Caenorhabditis elegans: one gene and its partners. The protein of the gene in region 1 purifies or fractionates together with the protein of each later gene. This does not show direct contact. Each region holds a gene or a part of one and is shown in the gene's direction. Other genes may lie near its edges. The genes, in order: prcc-1, F29B9.5 and igcm-4.

Evidence for each region.
Region 2: the proteins of prcc-1 (region 1) and F29B9.5 fractionate together in Caenorhabditis elegans (co-fractionation; one large-scale study listed by BioGRID). This does not show direct contact.
Region 3: the proteins of prcc-1 (region 1) and igcm-4 fractionate together in Caenorhabditis elegans (co-fractionation; one large-scale study listed by BioGRID). This does not show direct contact.

The regions. Positions count from the first base shown.
Region 1 is NC_003282.8:13,088,367-13,095,771, reverse strand, and holds prcc-1 (Proline-rich protein PRCC), read left to right. Parts: upstream 1-1,976; 5' UTR 1,977-2,015; coding exon 2,016-2,081; intron 2,082-2,139; coding exon 2,140-2,643; intron 2,644-3,375; coding exon 3,376-3,936; intron 3,937-4,388; coding exon 4,389-4,475; 3' UTR 4,476-4,585; downstream 4,586-7,405. Other genes in the region: rfc-3 (Replication factor C subunit 3), read right to left, coding at 1-3; C39E9.12 (SAP domain-containing protein), read right to left, coding at 393-598, 648-1,385, 1,432-1,582, 1,627-1,761; col-132 (Nematode cuticle collagen N-terminal domain-containing protein), read left to right, coding at 4,705-4,842, 5,437-6,129; spin-2 (Major facilitator superfamily (MFS) profile domain-containing protein), read right to left, coding at 6,288-6,382, 6,456-6,720, 7,304-7,405.
Region 2 is NC_003282.8:4,646,874-4,653,668, forward strand, and holds F29B9.5 (Thioredoxin domain-containing protein), read left to right. Parts: upstream 1-5,541; 5' UTR 5,542-5,585; coding exon 5,586-5,666; intron 5,667-5,715; coding exon 5,716-5,781; intron 5,782-5,835; coding exon 5,836-5,981; intron 5,982-6,035; coding exon 6,036-6,198; 3' UTR 6,199-6,295; downstream 6,296-6,795. Other genes in the region: F29B9.8 (Serpentine Receptor, class T), read left to right, coding at 813-963, 1,150-1,363, 1,420-1,485, 1,540-1,599, 1,648-1,788, 2,017-2,179, 2,228-2,366, 2,412-2,623; F29B9.7 (Pheromone-regulated membrane protein 10), read left to right, coding at 2,891-2,931, 2,981-3,127, 3,194-3,271, 3,321-3,404, 3,506-3,619, 3,667-3,730; ubc-9 (SUMO-conjugating enzyme UBC9), read left to right, coding at 4,186-4,239, 4,365-4,487, 4,622-4,712, 4,758-4,911, 4,968-5,046; psr-1 (JmjC domain-containing protein), read left to right, coding at 6,420-6,458, 6,512-6,678, 6,734-6,795.
Region 3 is NC_003284.9:2,042,646-2,050,050, reverse strand, and holds the start of igcm-4 (receptor protein-tyrosine kinase), read left to right. Parts: upstream 1-3,690; 5' UTR 3,691-3,868; coding exon 3,869-3,872; intron 3,873-3,898; exon of another isoform or gene 3,899-4,045; intron 4,046-4,126; coding exon 4,127-4,216; intron 4,217-6,717; exon of another isoform or gene 6,718-6,796; intron 6,797-7,344; coding exon 7,345-7,405.

The DNA.
Region 1 (7,405 bases):
CATTTTTGCACTAGAAAAGATTAATATTATATTGTCAGAGTAATTAAAGTCCAAAATAAGCGCGAGAAATAGAAGGTGGAACCCGAAAAGTAATTCCGCGGCACGCGCTTTTATGGTAAATTAAAAAATTAAACCGTGCCGCGAATTGCGCTTCGGGAATCCGGATCCACCGTATATTTCTTGCTAAAAAAATTAAAAGACATATTCAAAGATATCACAATTGTCGCAAACAATTGAATAGAGGAATAAATAAATAGAAAATAAATAAAGAGAATTGTAATAAATTAAAAGAATTCATTTTCAGAAACTCGACAAGTCAACAACGAAATATTTTACAGGTTTAGCCTAGTGAGACGAGTGAGTGAAGATAAATAAGAAAATAATTGAGATATCTACTTGATATTCATTTTACGCTTGAGTGCGATAATGTCGTCACGGCGCTTCTTGTTCTCCACTTGTTGTTTCTCGAGGTTCGTGGCAGCTCTTCCGGGGATTAATCCTTCCTCCAGTGCCAAAGTGAACTCGCGATCCGTCAATTGAGTCGTGTCGACGAACACTTTTCTCGTAGAGTGTGGTGTGTAACCAGCACGTCGTGGAACTAAAAATTGCTATGAATTAGCGAAAAAAAGATAAATATGAATAGTTACCTCTAGTTGGAGTGGTTCCTTTTGGCGTGGAAATGTACTCGGTGAATGTATCATCTTCTGGGACAGTTGCAGGAATGATTTTTCGAGAAGTTAAACGGCATGGTTTCGGGATTTGTGACTTGGTGAGCTTCTTCACGTCCACATGAGATCTTGCAACGGACTTTGTCTTTTTGGTAGAGGTGGTGGCAGCAGATGACGATGAGCAGCCAGCTCGTGAGCTGACAAGAGCGGGAAAATCATCAGCAGATTTATCCCCGAATTGGAAGGACATTTTCTCAGGATCCTGAACTTGCCAATTGCGCGCAGCAGATCTTGTAGTTGATCTATCAACTGGGTCACGTCTTGGCACACTTTTCGGGGTAGCAAGTCTCCTGATAGCTTCTGGGACGTCGCCGGTCATGAATTCGTGTCGTTTCTTCAATCGTTCTTGACGCTCTCCGAGTGTTTCTTCTTTTTCCATCTCTCTTGCATGAATCATTGCGAATCTGTCTCTTCCACTGGATGGAGCACGCTGACGAACTGGCGTAATTCCTCTGTTCTCGATCGGCATTCCTGGTCGCTCAGATGTTTGAGGAGTCGACGAACTAGCGCGGAGAGACAGTCTTGTCGAAAGACGATGAACTCTCGGGCGTGACTTCACCTCGAAGCTTTGCAGATCGATTCCCAAACTGCCACAGAGACGGTTTCTCAAGTCATCATCCAAAACGACAGCAACCGCATTTGTCGGAGTATTCTCGTCTGTAATAAAGCTGTTTAAATTTCAACTAAATGGAATATAACTTACGAACAAATCTGCCAGTAGTATTCTCAGTTTCTTCTTCCTCTTCAACTGTGAATGTGCGATTGGCAGGTGCTTCGTCGGTGTCCATAGCCTCGGCTTCCGGCTCTTCCCTGATTGCCTCCCCGTTTCCGGCATTATTTTGGCCAGCGAGAAACTGAAAAAGTTAAATTAATCACATTGTTTCGACTGAGTTCAAACCTCCAAAAGACGCGATTGAAGTTCCGATTTCTTTCCCGCAGTCGAAGCCCTTTTCTTCTTTAACTCCTTGCGAAGCTTGTCGCATGTCATGTTGAGCACGTCCTCTTCGGCGAGCTCTTTATTTTTGGCTGACATTTTACTGAAATTATTATTTTTATTGAATAGTGAGAACAGAAAAGCAAATGAAACAAGGAACAAATGAACAAGAAACAAAATAGGACTCAAGAAATTTCCCTCCATCGCTGTTTGAAAAATTGTGTTTTTCGCGCGGTGTACGTTGGAGCGCTGTTGCTTTCTTATTGTGTGTAGTCCTCTCGAATAAAGAAATCAATATTCGTATTGTTTATTTCGTCTGAAATTATTCGTTTCTTCGAAGAATTCTTCTCAAAATGGGCCTTGTGGATTACGCAGGAAGTGAATCAGAAAGTGATGAAGAAATGGAAACACAACAAAAAGTAAGCAAATTATTCTTTATTCAGTTTGAAAACATTTTCGAATTTTCCAAAATTTCAGAATTCACTCGCTCCACAAAATCAACAACTCGTCGATGATGAAGCATTTTTTGACAATACAGAAAAATCAAGCTCACCAAACATGAACAAAGAAGATGTTCTCGAAGAATTAGTAAAACCGAAAGAATGGGAGGTTAAATTGGCCGAGAAAGCAAGGAGAAAGCTGGAGAAAAAAGCTCTGAAAAAAGCACAAAAAGAAGAGAGAAAAAAGGAGAAAAAATTGGCGAAAAAAGCGATGAAAGTTGAAAAAATTCCGAAAATTGGTGGTGGAATTCAAAAAGCAAAAGGAAAAGTTATAATTTCGGCGTTCGGAGCTCTCGCAGGAATTACTGGCGAAAATTCCAGCGATGACAGTGATAATGAAGGTGCTGCTGTTGCTACAGTTAAGCCGAAGCTTGGAAACAGTTTTTTGTCAAACCTTCCAGCTCCAAAAGGAAGAGATAATCGTTCAGATGGTGCAAATGTATTCGATAAGTCCATGGTTCCACATTCAGTTTCTAAAAAGGTAAAAATTGAAAGTCGAGTGCGGATTCTGAGAAAATATACTTCTGATTTCGAATAACTAAGTAAAAAAATTTCCCTAATTTCTTATTTCAGCTTGAAATCGCCGATTTTCATTTGCGTCCCCATGAGATTTCCGAATTTTCACACCAGAGACGTCATGTGTCGATTTACGAAATGTGTGTATATTTACGAGATTTTCAATCTTAATCGGATGCTGATTTCCGGTTTTCTCAATTTTCGTCAGTTTTTGCCGAAACGTTTTTTGAAAATGTGTTTTTTTTTGAGGTTAATTAAACATTATAATATCAAAAAACTAACTAAATATTCGATTTTCAGTCAGGAAAAGCATATATTTGGATTTTCCGCTGAGTTGTGACCTAAGCATTGGAAATTTACTTGGTTTTTTGATAATATAATGTTTAATTGGCCTTAATAAACACATTTTCTCAAAACATTTTGTCAAAAACCGACGGAAATAAAGAAAACTCGTTGAAAAACAGAAATCAGCATCCGATAAAGATTGAAAATCTTGTAAATATACACAAATCTCGTAAATCGACACACGGCGTCTCTGGCGCGAAAATTCGCTGTTTCAAGCTAAAATATAAAACCGGGGAATTTTTGTTCGATTTTTGTCCCCATAAATATTAAAAATCAGGATAAAATTTCCAGATTTCTTCACTGAATTTTTATTTAATTTAAAACTTTAATTTTAAAACTCTTTCTCTTCCAGGCTACACCTGCTGCTGCTCCAGTTTTCAAGCCGGCTCCAGCTCCAAAACTGCCAGACGACAGTGATGACGATGATGACGGTCCAACCGATTTCTTCGGTTTCTCATCTGCTCCAACTAGAAAAGAATCAGAAATTCCATCAGAAATTCCATATATGACAATGAACAGCAGCATGGATGTAGTTGGGCCATCCCGTCCAGATGAAGGAATGGATCCTCGACAAATGTATGAAATGCCAGAAGAAGAAGAAGATGTTCAAGAAGGTCCATCTGCTTCAAATGCCTGGCTTCATCGGAAGATCAATGACGAGCAAGCTCATAAGCTTTTGATGCGATTCTCTCATGATATTGGACAAGAAGAACGTCGTTCGATCAACGAAATGGCCAATTCAATTGTCGATGTGAATGTGGATGATGCTCTCGGACCGGATGTTAAGACAAATATTATCAAGAATCTTGGACATCGCGCATTTGTTGAAGCAACTTCTGCTCCATTGCCACAAGTTCAAACTCAAGGACAAATGTCGAGAAGAAAGCATCAAATTACGTATTTGGCCAGCTTGGTAAGAGATATTCCAGATTTTATAGATTTTCAGGCTTTTACTTGCATCAAAAACCCAAAAAAAAAATCGCGAAAGAATGGAAAAGTCAATTTTTTAAAACTTATTTCTCATTTTTTGGCTGAATTTCTTGATGGAATATTCGGTCTTCAAAAAATTGAAGATTTAAAAAAAAACGAAAATTTTCAATTTTTTCGAAAACCGACAAATCGGAAACAATAATTTTACGGAAAAATACGAGAAAAATATAAATTCACCGAAAATGCAAAATCAATTGATTTCAATTACAAAAATACAGTTTTTTTTTCAAAATTAACAATTTATTTTAAAAAAATCGAAAAACCCGATTTTAGCCAAACAAAAGTGCAAAGTTGTCCTCGTGGAGTATGAAATCTGCGTAGATCAACACTTTTTAAGAGCTTGTGCTAGAAATCACATAATTCACTTAATTTCAGGCAGTATCCCGCGAGGAGCAGCTCAAAGATCAATGGGCCGATCAGAAGCAATCGAAGCGAATGGCGCGACAAAAGTACGGATTCTAATATCATTTCGAAATGTCTCATTAATCATTCAGTTTTCTCTCTCCCTTGTATTTGTGTGTTGTTTTGATGATAAACACCCATATAAACACGAAATGAATTCATTCGTTTTGAAAGTATAAGCACGTTATAATGATGAGAAAATTGCGCGATCGCTCGTTAAACGGGCATTAGCCGGCAGAGTACATAAGGCCGATTGGAAGGCAAGGAGGACAGGCAGAGATTGTCTGAAATGTCGAACAACTTCATTTGCGCAGCCGTCTCGGTTTCGTCGATACTCGTCGTCGGGTATATTACAGCGGGGCTGCTCATTTTCGCAGATTTTCGGACTTTTTATTCCACGGCACTTGATGACGTGGCAGAGTTCAATGTGAGTTTTTTCTGTAAAAAACACGACAATTTTTCGTTAAATCCAAGAAAAATCGTGCGCCTTTAAAGGTTACTGTAGTTTCAAACTTGTGCTGTTGCAGAATTTTAATCGATTTTCCGCGTGTTTGTATATAATTTTTAACAAATAACTATTTTTAAAACAATCGATGAAAGTTCTGCAAGAGCAAAAATTATCGATTTTTTCACAGTTTTTTGGCAAATATAACAATAAAAACACGTAAATTCATGAGAAAAACTGTGAAAAACCAGATACAAATTACGTAGCAACGAAAACACAGTACTCTTTAAAGGCGCACACCTTTTTTATTTAACAAAAGTTTTTCGTGTCGAGACCGGTGACCGTAGTTTCAGCTCAAAATGCACAAAATTTCTCGTGTGGGATAATAAGAAACTATGCGGAATACCAAGTGTTCCTTGTGGAAAAACATTAAAGTCTCTGAAACTGCAATAGTATAGTTAAAGATAACATTGATTCGAAAAATATTATCAAAGTTTTTTTTTTTTGAAATAATTGCTCACGACTCACGGCTCACGACGCGGCAATTTTTTTCATCAATCTGGCCTAATTTTTCAGAAGTTCGCAACTGAAGCCTGGGATGATATGATCGAAATCAATCGCTCCGTCGTAAGACAAAAGAGAAGTGGAGAATCAAAGTGTGGATGCATGAATAAGGTCAATAACTGCCCACCCGGACCTGCAGGACCACCAGGAGAGCCAGGAGCCCCTGGAGATGACGGATGGAATGGAGACGCAGGACAACCCGGACCAGACTTTCCACTCTTTGATCAATCCCTCATCTATCAAAGACCCCCATGCATTCGCTGCCCAGTCGGAGAGCCAGGACCTCCAGGTCCAGACGGAGAGCCAGGAGAGCAGGGACCACCAGGACCACCGGGAGTTGACAACTTTGAAGTTGGACATGATGGACCACCAGGTGTCGAGGGAGAACCTGGAGATGCTGGAGATCAAGGAGAAGACGGGGAGCCAGGTGTCGATGGAAGACCAGGCGCCAGTGGAATCAGAGAGATAGGAATGCCAGGAGCACCAGGGGCACCGGGTGTTGCAGGAGCTGAAGGACTCCCAGGCAAGGATGGAGAGCCAGGAATTCCTGGGCCAGAAGGGGAAGAGGGACCACCTGGAGCAGCAGGATTGGATGGAGAGCGGGGAGACGAAGGGGAGCCAGGACCTGAAGGACCACCTGGAATCCCAGGACCTGATGCAGCCTACTGTAGCTGTCCACTTCGTTCGGCACGTCTTGTCTTCTAATTTATTCCGAAACATTTTTTTTTATTTAAAAGAGTTTTTATTTATACAATAAAAATTAGCAGTTTACAAAAATCTTCACAAAAACGACAAAAAACCCGTTGTTCTAAAAATACATAAACCCAAATTATGGACATTAAAGCAATGAAATCAAGGAGGAATTAAAGTCGGGACGACGCAACGTCGTCGTTAATTCCAATCCGTTCCAAACTGTCAGTTGATGTTCGAATCGGCTTGGATTGAAGATCATCGAGACCTGAAATAATTCCAATAATAGCTGACTAAAATATACGTTTCCCCGACACCATACAAGAACAACGAGCACTTACCCATTTCCGCTCGGAACTTCTTCCGATCCGAGACCAGCGTGAGTGAGGACACAAAGTACAGTCCGGCAGAGAGCAAAAGCAGTGCCACGCAGCAATACGTGGCACTTACCAATGAATGATATTGATCTTTAGGATATGTGGATCCGTGGCGGATTGCGTCGGAGATTAACCCGATGAGATACGGACCAGAAGCGTCGCCAAACAAATGGGATACCAGTACGAAGTAGGAGAAAGCAGTACTTCGCCGATTCGGGTGGATGACAGTCTGAAATTTGTTCTGCTATTATGCGTTCTCTGGTGTGCACGTGGTGTCAGAGTGTCTCATTTCGGCTTGATCTACGTTGATCTACAAAAAATGCGGGAGAAAAGACGCAAAGTTCTCAATTGATTTTGCATGGTTAAGAACGTGCTGACGTCACATTTTTTTGGACAAAAAAATCCCGCATTTTTTGTAGGTCAAACCGTAATAGGACAGCCTGGCGCCACGAGTGTGCGGCGGTTTGTTTTTTTTTGGTTTTCAGGTTTTCCGGTTTTTTAACTTATTTTGTCTGTTTCAGTACAGTAATTGAACCGATTTTCAGGTACTTTTTGAAAAAAGAGAAACAGTTTTCACGTTCGTTTATTTTTGCAGAAAACGCAGTTGAAGGATCCTTGATCTTTACGGAAACTCTAAATATTTTTATCGGAGATTGATTTTTCGATCACTAAAAAATGAAAATATTTTTGAGAAAAGCTTCAAATTTGATTCGCTTCACAAACAACAAAAGTCAATAGGAATCGGGAAAATCAATCACTGAACACCCTGTTTCACTCATTGAATTTAAAAATTTCAATGTCGCATCACTAACCGTCAACATATCGATGTTCAGACCCCAGTTGAAGCACATGAAGGTGATTCCAAAGAAGATCATAATGTACAGCAACACCAAGCTCTTATCTCCAAAGATCAT
Region 2 (6,795 bases), 8.4 Mb from region 1:
CTTTTCGAAAAATTTTAGAAAAAATTTTAATAACTGTCAAAAAGTGGCAAATACTCAGTTTTTGCCATTCCTAATTTTGGAAGTCGAGCAAAAAATTGTTTTTTTTTCCCTACATTTTTACATTGTAATTTGTTTTAATTTTTGTACTAAAACATTGTAGGGGTCGGAACATGCGACATTGCTTTGGATTTTCTCAAAAGCTCATTTTTTCAAAATTTTGGCACTTTGACAAAACTTTGACCGGAAATTATGAAAAATCTAATATTTTTTGGAGGGTTTTATTATGCTATTCGGTTGTTTTCAATCATTATAAGTGCATTTAGATAAAATTCCCACTGGCGCTACTCCACCTTTATTTTGAAACTAGCTAACTTAAGATGTATCGTGAAAATTTTGAATGGGAGAATAATTTTCAGAGAATTTTAAAAATTTATTTGCCTTCTGAAAAATCTTTCAAAACACCTCATTCATAACCTACTTCAATTATTTTTCTATTGATTAGCAAAGTTTGGCCAGACCAGTAGTTTTTTGAACGGTTTTTGAATAACAAGTTGAACTGTCGTCGCCCCTTGTTCTGACTTCAAGTACCTGTAACTTTTCTCAATTGAAAAAAAAGTTAATAAAATCTATGCCTTTTGCGCTTGTTTTTCAAAAACTTGTCACCTGTTTTCCAAAGGTTTCCATAGCGACCCTGCTTTCTAAAAGTTCTATGCTCCGATAACCTCATTATTTTTTGACAAACCTATATTTTTTTCAATCTTATTTTTCCCTACGACTTGATCAGCTTAATTCCTAACCAATACAATTTCAGAATGTCAGAAGAGACACTCGATTTCAGTGGGTCGATGCCTGAGGAGGTGCAAACTCTTCTCACAAATTCGGAGATGGATCCAGGACTTTTGTCGAATGAGACAGCAACCACGATGATCACAGATGTGATTAGTACAACCACAACCACATTGGGTAAGTTTTAGATTACCTAGTTTTGCCGACGCTGTGTTTTTCTTAACGGAAAATAGTCCTCTGTACGAGCTCGATGCATCGAATTTGACGTGCAAGTTTTATACCAACAGTATTGTTGACCGCGTTATTCAAGAACTGGAAGCCAGAAACTTTCAACAAAGTTTTTTCTAACTATTCAATTTTCAGCCCCCGTCCTTATCGGCTACCAACCTAACCCATTCCGCATTGGACTCCTCGCCTTCAAATGCCTGCTCATTATCCTAATCTTCACTTTATCCTGTACGATTCGTAAGGACTTCTTCAAGTTCTTCGTTCTCTTCCTTATCATCCCACTGTTTATCGAAGCTGGATTTGATATCTTCACCGAGATTCACGCCAGTACAGCGATCTTTGGGGCTCAGTGAGTTTGAGAAGCATTTCTTTGAACATATTCATTATTATTCAACTAGTTTTCAGACAGTTTGACTGGCAATACCTAAACCTTTCACCACGAGCGAACGACACTGTGACTGATTGGCAGAAGTGAGCTAATTTTAGATTTTACATTTGTCATACAACCAGTTTTCTATTTTTTAGGTATGCCGTCGACGGGTTCGGAGAGATCCTTCAAAAGTACACAACTTACCAGGTGTACACGTAAGATCGTTGAGTAGATCTAAAAGATTTTAATGACATAGATTCCAGGAAGGATCAACTCTTCTCGATCGTATCCTATGTCGCCGGTGATTTTATCTTCTGGAGTCTGCTCTTTTCGACTTACACGGTCTTTTTCTTCGCTCACAAGGCGATTGCACGTCCAGAGCAGATCACTTACGAGCCGATTGGGTAGGTTTGTTTTGCTAGGAAAGCTTCCACGATGTACAGGCGCTTAGGCATGCCTAGGCAGTCGCAATTTTTACCAGTTTTCTGGAGCACATCCCAGCTTGCTGGTGTGCTTCTCCATCTTTCTGGCACACTTCTCCTCCACTCAAAAGCAGTCAAACTTCTTTATAACGCACTTAATCCCCTTTTCTTACAAATAAAAAAAACAATTTAAAAAAAAACAATTTTCAGCAGTGTCTTCTTCAAGGCTCAAATCACTCCGGTAATCTTTACCGCCTTTGACACTCTCATCTCGATCTACCAAATTCCACAATGGGCTTATCTCAGCATCATTTCCAGCATCAGACTCACTGCGTGTATTGTCTCCTTCGGCATCGTCACCCAGATGTTCGCTGTGAGTTTCAGATGTCTTTCAGTACTAGAAGCATAGAATTGATTTCAGAGTCTCTTCTTATTCTGCAGAAGAAAGGACGAGGTGACGAAGACTTCTCCATATGAGCACGTGAGAAACAGCAAACTCCGTTTGTTCTTGTTCCTATTATTCAGTATCTGTGTTCATGTGCTTACGGCTCCTTATCTCAGTAAGTAACAGTTAGCAGACCTAGTGAAACCTTAGATCCTTTCAGTCTGGTCCGGATTGACCATCGCTTTTGACGTCGGTCAGCTTCTCGGCTTCAACTGGTACCTCCCAATGCACTTTGCTTCCGAGATGTTCCCACTTCATCTGACCTTCTTCTTGCTCAGACCCTTTATCTTCCTAATTCTGGCTCTGATCCTCCTCAACCCATACCGCCGTCGTTTTGTCAAATTCTTCTTCCCGTGTTGTAGAAGACATTAGGAACGATCTTTTATTTTTTTTCTGTAATTATTGCTTCCAACTCTTCTTTTTTGCGCCATAATTCTAAACCCCTGTGCCATTGGGCGCCCCCTCAGAAGCCCGGTGCTCCTTCGTTTTTTCTTTGTTTTGTTTTTTTTCAAATCGGAAATATCGCTCTCTCAGAAATTGTGATAAATAGTACACGTTTTACACGTTCCATATGTGCCTTGCCTTACAATTAAAAAATGAATAAATTTTTTTCAAATTTAAATCATTCTTATTTTTACGATGAGTTCGAAAAGTGGTGTTATAGAGTTTCCGGAAGACAAGTGAGTTTTTAATTTTTATTTATAAATTTAAATTTTTGACTCTTTGAAGCAAATTTGTGCATACAAATATGGCTGATTACACTACGGAATTGCTTGATGGTAGTGAGTCAACTACAAAGAGTACAGCAACAGACGAACCACCTAATCAATTGTTTTTGTCATCGTTGCTTTTCTTGAGCTCTGCGATTTGTTCTCTGTGAGCTCACTAGCTATTTTCTACAATTAAACAATAATGGAAAACCAAAATAAAATTTTATTCCAGATTCGCAGCTTCAATTCTAGTTCGTAGTTTTCCATTTTTCGGTTCTACTCTCTCTTTGGTGATCATTCTAGTAACTAGGTTGGCTTTGTTCATCAAGAAAAATAGATCTAATTGGAACATTTTCTAGAGAATGGAATAGGATATACGGTGGACTTTTGAGTCCAAATCTGAAAGCAACAATCAACTATTCGACCGTTATGAGAGATCACAGGTACATCTGAATTCTAGAAAATCACCTATTGTATATATATCCTATATATAGGCATATATTTTGACACTTAAAATAATTAAATTTCCAACTTTCTAATTCAGAGAATACATTCCGTTATACGACATGGACTGGTTGTTCGGAGGAAGATACAAGCCGTACTATTATGGATGCACGGGACCTTCGAACAATCCGGACATGGAGAGAACGCCTGATGAGTGAGAAAAAAGTTTTTTATTTTTTGAAAACGTTATCATTTTTGCAGCCCCGGAAGTCGTTCGCCGACGAAAGAGCGCAAGGAAGGAGAGGTTTTGAAGAAGGATGACTGACTGGGCACTCTCATTCTCACACATTTTGCCGCGAATAAATATTATTTGAATTTCGCGCCCTTCGAATTTATAATTTTCTTGAATATTCTTTTGTGTGCGCGCGAAAACTGCGAACCGTTTTGTAATTTTCTGTTGCATTCTGTCGAAATTAGTTTTCGTGTGCGACACCATTGCGAAATCGCGCGCCGCACTATGCAATTTATTGATCGATAATACGGGCGGTGCTCGCCCCCCTTTTCGTTTTTTGGCGCGATATCCTATTTTTGAACTTTTTCGAGAAATTTCTCTTTCTTATCGATCGGATTTCTGTTTGAAAAATCTAAAATAGTTCTGACAAGTGTCACGAACACGCTGTTTCGTTTGTTTACCTCTCTCTTCTTTTCTCGTTGTGCCTAAAACTTCACTGTCCACTTCTCTTTTACAAATTTGATATTTTTCAGTGTAACCGAACAAAAATGTCGGGAATTGCTGCAGGACGCCTCGCGGAAGAAAGGAAACACTGGCGAAAGGTGAGAATTTTATCATTACATGGCAAGTCGGGGCGATTTGTATTACAAAACCGCTTTAAATCGGTTAAATTCTAAAAATTATCGAAAAATAGTTTGTTTTCATGCCCAAAACTCAACATTTTCAGGATCATCCATTCGGATTCATTGCCAAACCAGTCAAGAACGCCGACGGAACATTGAACCTCTTCAATTGGGAATGTGCAATCCCAGGGAGAAAGGATACGATTTGGGAAGGCGGATTATACAGAGTATGTGAAGCTAGAATTCGGAAATTATCATTTTTCGTTAATTTATTGAGCTATAATATTCGTGAACTGTTTCTCTCAAAAACTGCTATTTGGAATACAACGATATTTATAAATCTAATTCAATTTTCTTTCAGATTCGGATGCTCTTCAAGGACGATTTCCCGTCAACGCCACCAAAGTGCAAGTTCGAGCCACCACTCTTCCATCCAAATGTGTACCCATCAGGTTATTATTGCAGTCCAATAGTTATAATTAATTAATTGAATTCAGGTACCGTGTGCTTATCTCTTCTGGATGAAAACAAGGATTGGAAGCCGTCAATCTCAATCAAGCAACTTCTCATTGGAATTCAAGATTTGCTGAACCATCCAAATATTGAAGATCCAGCTCAGGCTGAAGCCTATCAGATCTACTGTCAGAATAGGTGAGTTTTTTTTATCTGAATATTATAAAAAAAATACACAAATGAATTTATTACAGGGCTGAATATGAGAAGCGAGTGAAGAAGGAAGCTGTGAAGTATGCTGCCGAACTCGTCCAGAAGCAAATGCTCGAGTAGATGCTTGCTTCGTGGTAGTCGTCTATTCTATTCTCCTTTTTCCTCCCATCCTCATTTCATTTAGTTAACTATTTCTGTATGCGGCAACGATTGTTGACACAACTCGAAATTCGAGCACCGAAGCAACTTTTCTGATATCTTTTATTTCAATCTAACCAAAAGCTTTGTCGTGCCTGGTTTTTCATTTCGTGGTTGATGAAATTCGAGAGCTAGAACATTTCGATGACTTTTTCCAAATTTCGTGTGCACGCAAACCCAATCATTTTCCACTGGTCCATGGGCTGAGTAGTCTTTATTCTTTCAAAAGACTATTCCTCATCATTCTTACTCATTTTGATCTTCATCTTTCTTTTTATCCCGTTCTGTTTTCCATCTCTTTTCTCTTCCCCCCAATTCTCTTAAAATCAGGAGCACAATTTAATTGTTGACAAATCCCGTGTATTCCAATTTTCTAAATGGACTTGATTATATTTTTTTTCCCTCAACTTATTTGTATTTTGCAACTCAACCATGAACTGTTCATGTCAGATTCTCCAACAATGTCCGAATTCATGAAAGGTGTGATGCTTCTGAAGCAAGACTTGACTGAAGTTCCTGCCGAAGAAGCTCTGAAGGGCAAGGTGGCGAAATATTAGTGTGTAGTGAAAGATTTTAGAATATGACATTTAGGTTGTTGCTCTTTATTTTTCCGCGGGATGGTGTCCACCGTGTAAGCAGTTCACTCCGAAGCTAGTTGTGAGTGCTGAATCTAGATTTTCCGATTTTCCAATGAGTTTCCACACCCTTCAGCGCTTCTACCATCATCTGAAGAAGGCTGGAAAGCCCATCGAAGTGGTTTTCTTCTCTCGTGATAGATCAAAGGCTGATCTTGAAGAGAACTTCACCGAGAAGCACGGCGATTGGCTCTGCGTCAAGTATGGAGACGACATTTTGACGTGAGATTTATCATTTTTAATTTCAGAGTCTCAAAAATAAATCATAATTTTCAGACGATATCAATCAAAGTTCGAGATCAAGACGATCCCAGTGCTCCGAGTGATCAACGCAGCCGGCAAGATGGTCGTTGTGGATGGGAAGTCGGAGGTCGTCGACAAGGGAAAAGCCGACCCACAGGGACTCTTCGCTGCGTGGGAGGCAGCATGCAACAAGTGAAAATGTATATAATTATTTTCCATTTATTTAAACATTTATCTAGTAATTTTTTAAATAGATTTTTCCTACTAATAAATAATTAATTATCACGTAAATATTTATATTTTAATAGTTTTTCTCTAGGTTTGCCCGCCCTAGATTGTACCTGCCACGTCAACTGGATCAGAGCTCTGGTGAGATAAAAATGAATAAGTTTCGGCATTTCTATTTTAATAGACGACATGTTGTCGTTTGCCACAGAGTTTTTGGACGATATGAAGGTTTTTTTTAATGAAATGTATTGTTTCAAAAAAAAAATCAATGTTTTTTTCAGAGACAACTAATGTCATTAGGGCGAGATAGATACTCATTACCGCGTACTTATAAACGGGTTTCACATGCGAAGGACAAAGCGAGACCGGAGCTGAGAAAGTTCGGATGGGAGACTCTGGGATACTCGGAAAGCTTTAATCTGCCTCCATTTAGGGATAGTATTCAAAGGTTTTTTTTAGAGCTTCAGATTTCAAAATCGAGGAATTTAAATTTAAAATTTCAGAGTTGATGGGAATAATCTTACCGTGGAGGAGTTCCGCCGAGATTTCGAAAGACCGAGAATCC
Region 3 (7,405 bases), on another chromosome or scaffold:
ATTTTTGTTCATTTTTGAATATTATGAGAGAGTGCCTGAAAACTGGAATTGTTTTTCAGTTTAGCAGTGCTCCGTTACAGTCTAAAAATGTGCTAAAATTAACGAATTTCATATTGAAATATTCAAAAAACAATTTCTAACATTTTTTATGGCGGTTCAAAATATCAACAAAAAAACTAATTTTGGCTAAAATTAGACCATTTTTCTTGATCCGAATAAAAATTGTTTTTAAATTTTTTGACAAGTTTCTTTTGAAAATTCATGCATTTAAGCACAGTTTTGCTATATTCCTTTCCTAAATTTTTTTCCGAATTTTTAAAAATCTAATGTTGTCTGAATATTTAAAAAATTCCCATTTCTCAAAAAAATCTCACTATTATAATCAAACAAGTAAACACTAGTTTTATCTTGCGATAAAAAATATATGTGCATAGGTTCTAGTAAACTAATTTGATGTCAGAAAATTGAGACAATTTGAAAATTATGCACTTTATTCCTCCAACTTGAGTCTAACTATAGAGACATGTTGAAATGGTTTTAGCCTTGGGTTTCACTAATTTGCTTTGTTACGGGACTACTTTTTTCAAATAGTTTTTCAAATGTTTTGTTGCGTTTTTTGCAATAATTGTTAGGGATTTGAAATAAAAACCTGAAAAAAAAATCCTGAAATCCTTGTTTCAAAACACTTCACAAAATTTCGTAATTTTTTCGCAACTCATTGAAGAATAAAAATTATATTTGTTTTCTCCAAAATTTGTATTACACAAATTGAATCTTTGCTGTAGAATATCAGAGTTTCACCATCTAGATTTTCTTCGCAGTAAATTCAATTTGATGCAATTCGCAGTGTTAGAAGTCGTACCCTAGTACTCCACGCTTTTTCACATGAGATTATTTTGTTCTGTGTTTTAGTTTTCTCTCCATTCATAATTAGTTGTTATCTTTTGTCCATCTGTTGTGTTGTTTCATCCAACCGCTTCCCATATGGCACTCTCGGGCTCTTCACCTGACTATGCAATTAGTGCATTATTCATAAAGAGTTGGTCCGGGAAGACAGACACCGCTGCGTGAAGCCGTCTTTCGTTTTCGTGCGGCACAACCCTTTTAGCACCTTATGTATATTTCCTGTTTTTACTTTCGACGGCCTTCTATTCAACTCAACTTATAGAACACATGTAACAATTGCTCCAACTGAGCTATCCTCTTTTTGCTCAAAGACCACTATTAAAGGAGGCTGTGGAAAATTTCGAACGTTAACACTCAAAAGTTGCTCAACAAAAAAAATTTAGTAATGACAATTGTTTTAATAATTAAAATTTTTAAAATACTATTTTTCGGTTTGAAATTCTTTAAAAAAAACTGGCTAATTTTAGCTAAAACCTGAAAGTTTTTTCCACTTTTATTGAATTATCATCTTTTGTTTCAAGTTTAATTGTTTATTTCACGTTATTCCGTTGATGAAGGTACATTTCAAGCGGGTAAGTGGCCAGTTTTTGTAATTTTTCAACGAAATAAAATGAGATGACGACCAAAATATGCAATAAAAAAAATGGTTATTTGAGGAAAGTTAACTTCCGCTTGTTGAATTGCTGGAAAAGGGGCCGAAATGGAGATTTTAGCTAAAATTAGGAAAATTAGGATTTCGTTCCCCCAAAATGTTTCAATTTTCTAAGTTTCAATTAACCACAAAAACGTGAACCTTTTGGAACGATTTGTAGAAATGAATGCTTTGTTCTTTACTTTTGTTCACGTTTTTTATTTAAAAATTTGAAAATAAAATTTTAGATATAAAAACATTATGTGGGGGGGGGGGGAGAACAAAACCCATAAGCATCAATTAGGATAGTTTTTTTGCCATAAAAAGGTTCAGAGAATTTTTTGAGAAGTTTCAATACGAAACTCGTTTTTTCGCGCAGATTTGGCGCTTTTATGTTCAAATTTCCCCCAAAGTATCGGTTTTTTTTGGGTTTTGTGCGCAAACCCGAAAAATCAAAAATCTGAAAAACTGTGAAAAGCCAAAAAAGTGTCTGAAACCCTGTAAAAAACGGGATTCAATGTTTATTTTCCGGTTTTCATACTATTTCATACAAGCTATTGAAATTCCAGTTTTTTATGACAATTGAGACCTCAATTATTTTTCGATTTCTAAGATTTTGAGCCCTACCGAAAACTCGGCAGGCCTAGCATTACCAACTCAAAACAATACCTGTGAATGCAATGTGATTCCACTTTCTTGGGGACCCCGTTGCGATGCGTATCTAGTATCACTTGAAACCTTGGTTGAAGTACGTAGAAGGAGTAGGTTCTTGAGGTGTGTTCTCCAGGTTGTATCACTAGACGGATGAGTGCTCACTTGTGTTATTCGAGCAGCGAAGAACAAACCTCTTCGATACTCTGTTTACGGTGTGGTGTCAGCTAACAGCTACCTGTCATGCGCGATAATATGCATTGTTTGACCTATTATTCTCAAGTTGAGAGAGTAGGCTGGGAAGTCGAAAATTGAAACTTGAGGTCAGAAATTCAAAATGTTTGTAGAATAAATTAATTCATATAAATACACCTATTAAATAATCTACACGCAAAAACACGCAAAAATAAAAAGGAGTCAAGTCATCAATAATGTTACAACCTCAAGCTGTCAGTTGTGAATGATTGAGCACATTGAGTTTTTGAATGATCACACTGAATTTCCGGATTATCTTGCCACTTTCATCTATATCTTCATTTTTCGCATTCTGCAAAACACCCTGTATGCTCGAAGCGTTATCCTATAAACAACTGTATGAACTTCCTCTTATTAATATTGCCATGTGTATCGAGCCTGCTTACATAGTCAGAAGCACAGTGGTCGTATTTGTATTTACATATTGGCTTAAGTTGTCTATTTGGATTATAGTTTTGTTAACATATGTCTTCTTCAGCACTGGCACTGGCCTTAATATTGTTAACTAGCTCATTAACAGGGAATAGCGCCAGTGAGGATTTTGCCTGAATACACCAAATGACATAATAAAACACTTCAAAAGTCAAAGTTTTGGCAAGGTGCCAAGTTTTCAAAAAATATGAGATTTTAAGTAAACCCAGAGAAATGTCGCGACACTGAAAATGTTTAAACAAAAATAATTTAACAAAAATTAAAGTATAAAAATCGTAATTTCCAAATTTTTTTTGGAAGAATTCACTATGATATTTTGACATTTTGGCACCAGTTCTAAGCAGTTTTCTTCACCTTCAAACGAAATATTTCTTAAACTAAAATGTGTATAAATTTTTTCTAATATCACCTGGAAATTCCCAATATAAAACTATGCATATTTTGTTAAATCTGTTAAAATATTGGCAGGAGGTAGAATACGAATTGAGATTAAATTCGGCACATTTTTTTATTAACACCTCATTGTCCACCTTCCTAACTAAAAACCACCTGTTTCAACTGCTCTCTAGGGATCTCCTTAATCCGGAAAACCTACAACGCCTGTCACTCACAAGAGATCCAAATCTCCCGTGTTCATCTGCCATACATGGGTAGGGAACTCACCGTGTATTTTTCCTCTCCTCCCATCGACTACCGAATGAGCTGACCATCTTCATTAACTGTCAGTGCGGGCGGACCGTCGTCTGCGTTTCTCGCCTTCTGACGCTCTCTCTTTCCCCCTAGCCACACCACTAGGCCCCACCCCCCACTCTCCCGCGGATGTACGCACATCGTAAATCAAAATTTCGCCAAGTTGTCGAGGCTATAAATCATTCTGCGTGTTTTGCGGCGTGTTCTTAACGAATTAACCGAAGAACGCCGGAAGTGATTTTAATGAACTTTTTGAAAATTTCTGCTAGTTTCTAAAGTATATTTGCAATTTTCAAGTTTGCAATGGGTGAGTAATAGTTATGCTTTGTTTTTTTCACTCAAATATTTTGATTCTCAACACTTTTCTTATCAGCTTTTCGACTCGGTAAATCGAATAGATAAAGCGATTAGTAAGGTGTTAAAGTAAACTAAAACTTAAAGCGACTCTTTCAAAATGCTAAATTTTCATTGACCTGCAATATTTTTTTCTCTATAAACTAATTTCTAGCATTTTTACTTTTACTAATTTTTTCTCCATATTTTTCAAACAATTTTTTTCAGATTCATTCAAAATGGGTGCCGTATTTTTGCTAATCATCACAATGGTCAACTCGGCAATCATTCGACCGCACGTTGAAGCAGCGCGTGGAAGTGAGTAAGGGGAGCGGGAAATAGTTGAATTGAATTAGCGTGGAGTGATGTTGAAAACGTAGATTACGCGTGCGCTCTTGACCCCCAGAATGTCAAGAGCTAATTTGCCATATGTACAGTTTTTGGCTTGTTTTTCGATGGTCCTTTGTGATTTCTAATTTCTAATTCCTAAAAAGCGTCCCGTATGTCGTTGGAACTAGTGTTTCGAAAGCTATAACCAAAACGAAAATCGAGTCGAAAGTCAAGCATTTTTGATTGACACTTTGAATCCCAAGAAGAAGAAGGATAGAGTCCGTCTTTTCTTGGGCCGGGGTAGGGTGTAAAAGTGAATCGAAATGAGACATGTTCTTGTCATTGCATAATTTATAATTTATAATTTATAATTTATAATTCATATTCATATGCTTCCCATTTCCGATTGGTTGACAAGATTAGACCTTCCGTTCGGTTCTTCCCATTGCCCATTGTTTCCCAAGTAGATACCATTTGATACGCATTTTTGATAACGAATGCGACGAGATACGATATGTCATTCACCTCGCCGTTATTATCTAACTGTAGAACACATCTCAAGGATGCCGGAGGGGGATTGCCAGAGCATAACGGAATACTACTGTTGATATATGATCTATCATATGTTATACTCAATACTTTGTATATTGCCACTCAAAAGATATGTATTTGAGTAGTGAAATGAAATAATAAAAGATGGCATTGGTAATTGGAGTGTATTACGTATTAGCAGAACAGAAAACTAAAGAACCCAACGAGCCATAATTACGCAATGCATTGACTGCCATTGCGCCACAACTCTCACCTAGAATTGTACTGCTCTTTGGCAGCTGTCCAGCATGGGGGGGGGGGGGGGGAGAGCCTCTTCTCACCTATTGTTCTTGTTGCCCACCGAGCACAACAGCAAAAGGAAATGGAAGACTAGACGCTCTTCTCCGTCTGTTGTATTCATCGCAACGACGACACTTAATTACAAATTTGAATCAAGTAAGAACGAGCACACGATTCGTTCGTTTAAGTGCATTTGCGGGGCTTTGGAGCACGTGTGAGGATGGCAGACGGGACGAATATTATTAAAAGATTTGCGAAAATTAATGATAATTGGCAATTTGCTTGTGGAAAGTAGTGTGAGAAAAGAATTAATCGTAAAAGAATTAGTTAAAAATCAGCAAAGATAGAACACAAATAGGATATTTTGTATAAAAGTCCAAAAGTTTGAAATTAAATCTTTTATTTATTCATTAGGGTTAACTAATCGTAATTCACATCAGGGCTGTGCGGCAATTTGTTTTGGTAAAAGTACACAATAGCTTACTTCAATATGAAAATCCAACTTTTTTAAATTCAAAATTGATATTAAAATGTATAGACAAATTTGATCTATGTATCAGAAAATTATATTTGTTTGTCGAAAAATTTTGGAATACTTCAGAGAGTGCCTGAAAATTTCCTGTTGCCGAAAAAGTGCCATTAAAAGTTTTTTGGCAAGCGGCACAGTTCAGGCACTATTTGAAATCTTTTACAACTTTTTCCAACAAATATGAATATTATTTTCAGATAAAACAAATTTTTTTCAATTTTTTGTACCAATTTTGAATTCAAAAAATTGCCGCAAAGCCCCATTTTTCTCTTGAGGGGTTCAAATATTATTTTTTAAAGGTAGAATAACGCCAATAAGGAAATGGTTAAAAACCACTCTTATGGGGCCAAAACGACCGAGTATCATAGTAAAACTTTTTAACCATTTTCGAAATTTTTTTATTGACAGTCAAAAATGGCAATTACTTGAGTTATTGCTACATTTTGAAAAAGAAAACTATAGCACTGTCACCCCTACATTGTCTGAATATTAGTATTTGAAACATAGGTAGTTTATAAAAATTGAAAAAAAAATTTTGATCGACGACTTCCAAAAAAGTGGCATAAAAGAGATTTTTCCTGTTTTCAAAAAATCATATAAAAGTTAGAATTTTTAAAAAATTGTTTTAATATGATATCTTGAAATTGTGGTGTTTTAAAGACATTTCCCTAAAAATTCAAAATCTGTTATACACAAATACCGTAGTAGGTAAAATTTTTCATCTTTACCGGCAAAATTTTCCATATCTAGACAGGATTTCTTCTCGATCCGATTAGTGCCCACCGATTCTTCTCAATTTTCCAACACTCTAAGAATAGAAGAAAAAGAAGAAACAGAGGGGCTTGGTGTTTCCGGTCATTTCCCGGAAGGGATCTTCATTAGAATTCCGTTCCAACGTCCTACTAATTGCAGTCTCAATTTTCAAATCTTGAATAAATTTCCATGGAGTGCTAGAGTTGTTCATGGCTCAAATTACGGCAGCTTTCCTGGCAATTAGGTGCCTTTTCATTACTTTTAGATCCCCGCGTGCGCGAGCAGCTGCATTGTGTTCCCTTTTACTAATGTTTACCATTCACGTGTCCATTGCACATTTTCAAGAGAGAGCTCAACGCCATTGCTCGATATATCCCACACACACACACACACACACACACACACACACACACACACACACACACACACACACACACACACACACACACACATACGCTCTAAAATACAATCCAAACAAATAAGTGGGATAAACATAGATATTTCGTAAGGGTGAATTCGTTTCGTTTCCTACACCACATGTAGGTTTAGTAGTGTTAATATCCATTCATGCATATACATTATTTTTGAATTGAAATGCCCTCAAGCATATATAATATTGTGCTGGGCAACTATTTCCAAAAACTTTTTGTGTATACATTTTTGCTGGCATCCTACTATGCGGTGAGGAGAGTAATTGAAAATGCAACACAATATACGGTACACGTCAAATCATGAACATCACCTGCCGTCTGACACAAGACAAGACAAAGAAACGATATTGGATAGTCTTAAAGGGCAGACCGGCAGTGTCAAATAATTGTAATAATGTAATTTAACACCACGGAGAAGAAAAGTCAGACACCTGTGCATTTCTCTCTTATTATTAACCTACAGATATAATAAGCGCTAATGGAGGGAGAGTGCATTCTAGAGACAGAGACAGTAATCTGACACAATAGAACGTCACCTAAGAATAATATCGATTTTAATATCATAATTTCAGTGCCCCCACGTATGCGCAATGTTGAGACCAAATTCCGTATCCCGCTGGGTCAGAAACAGTT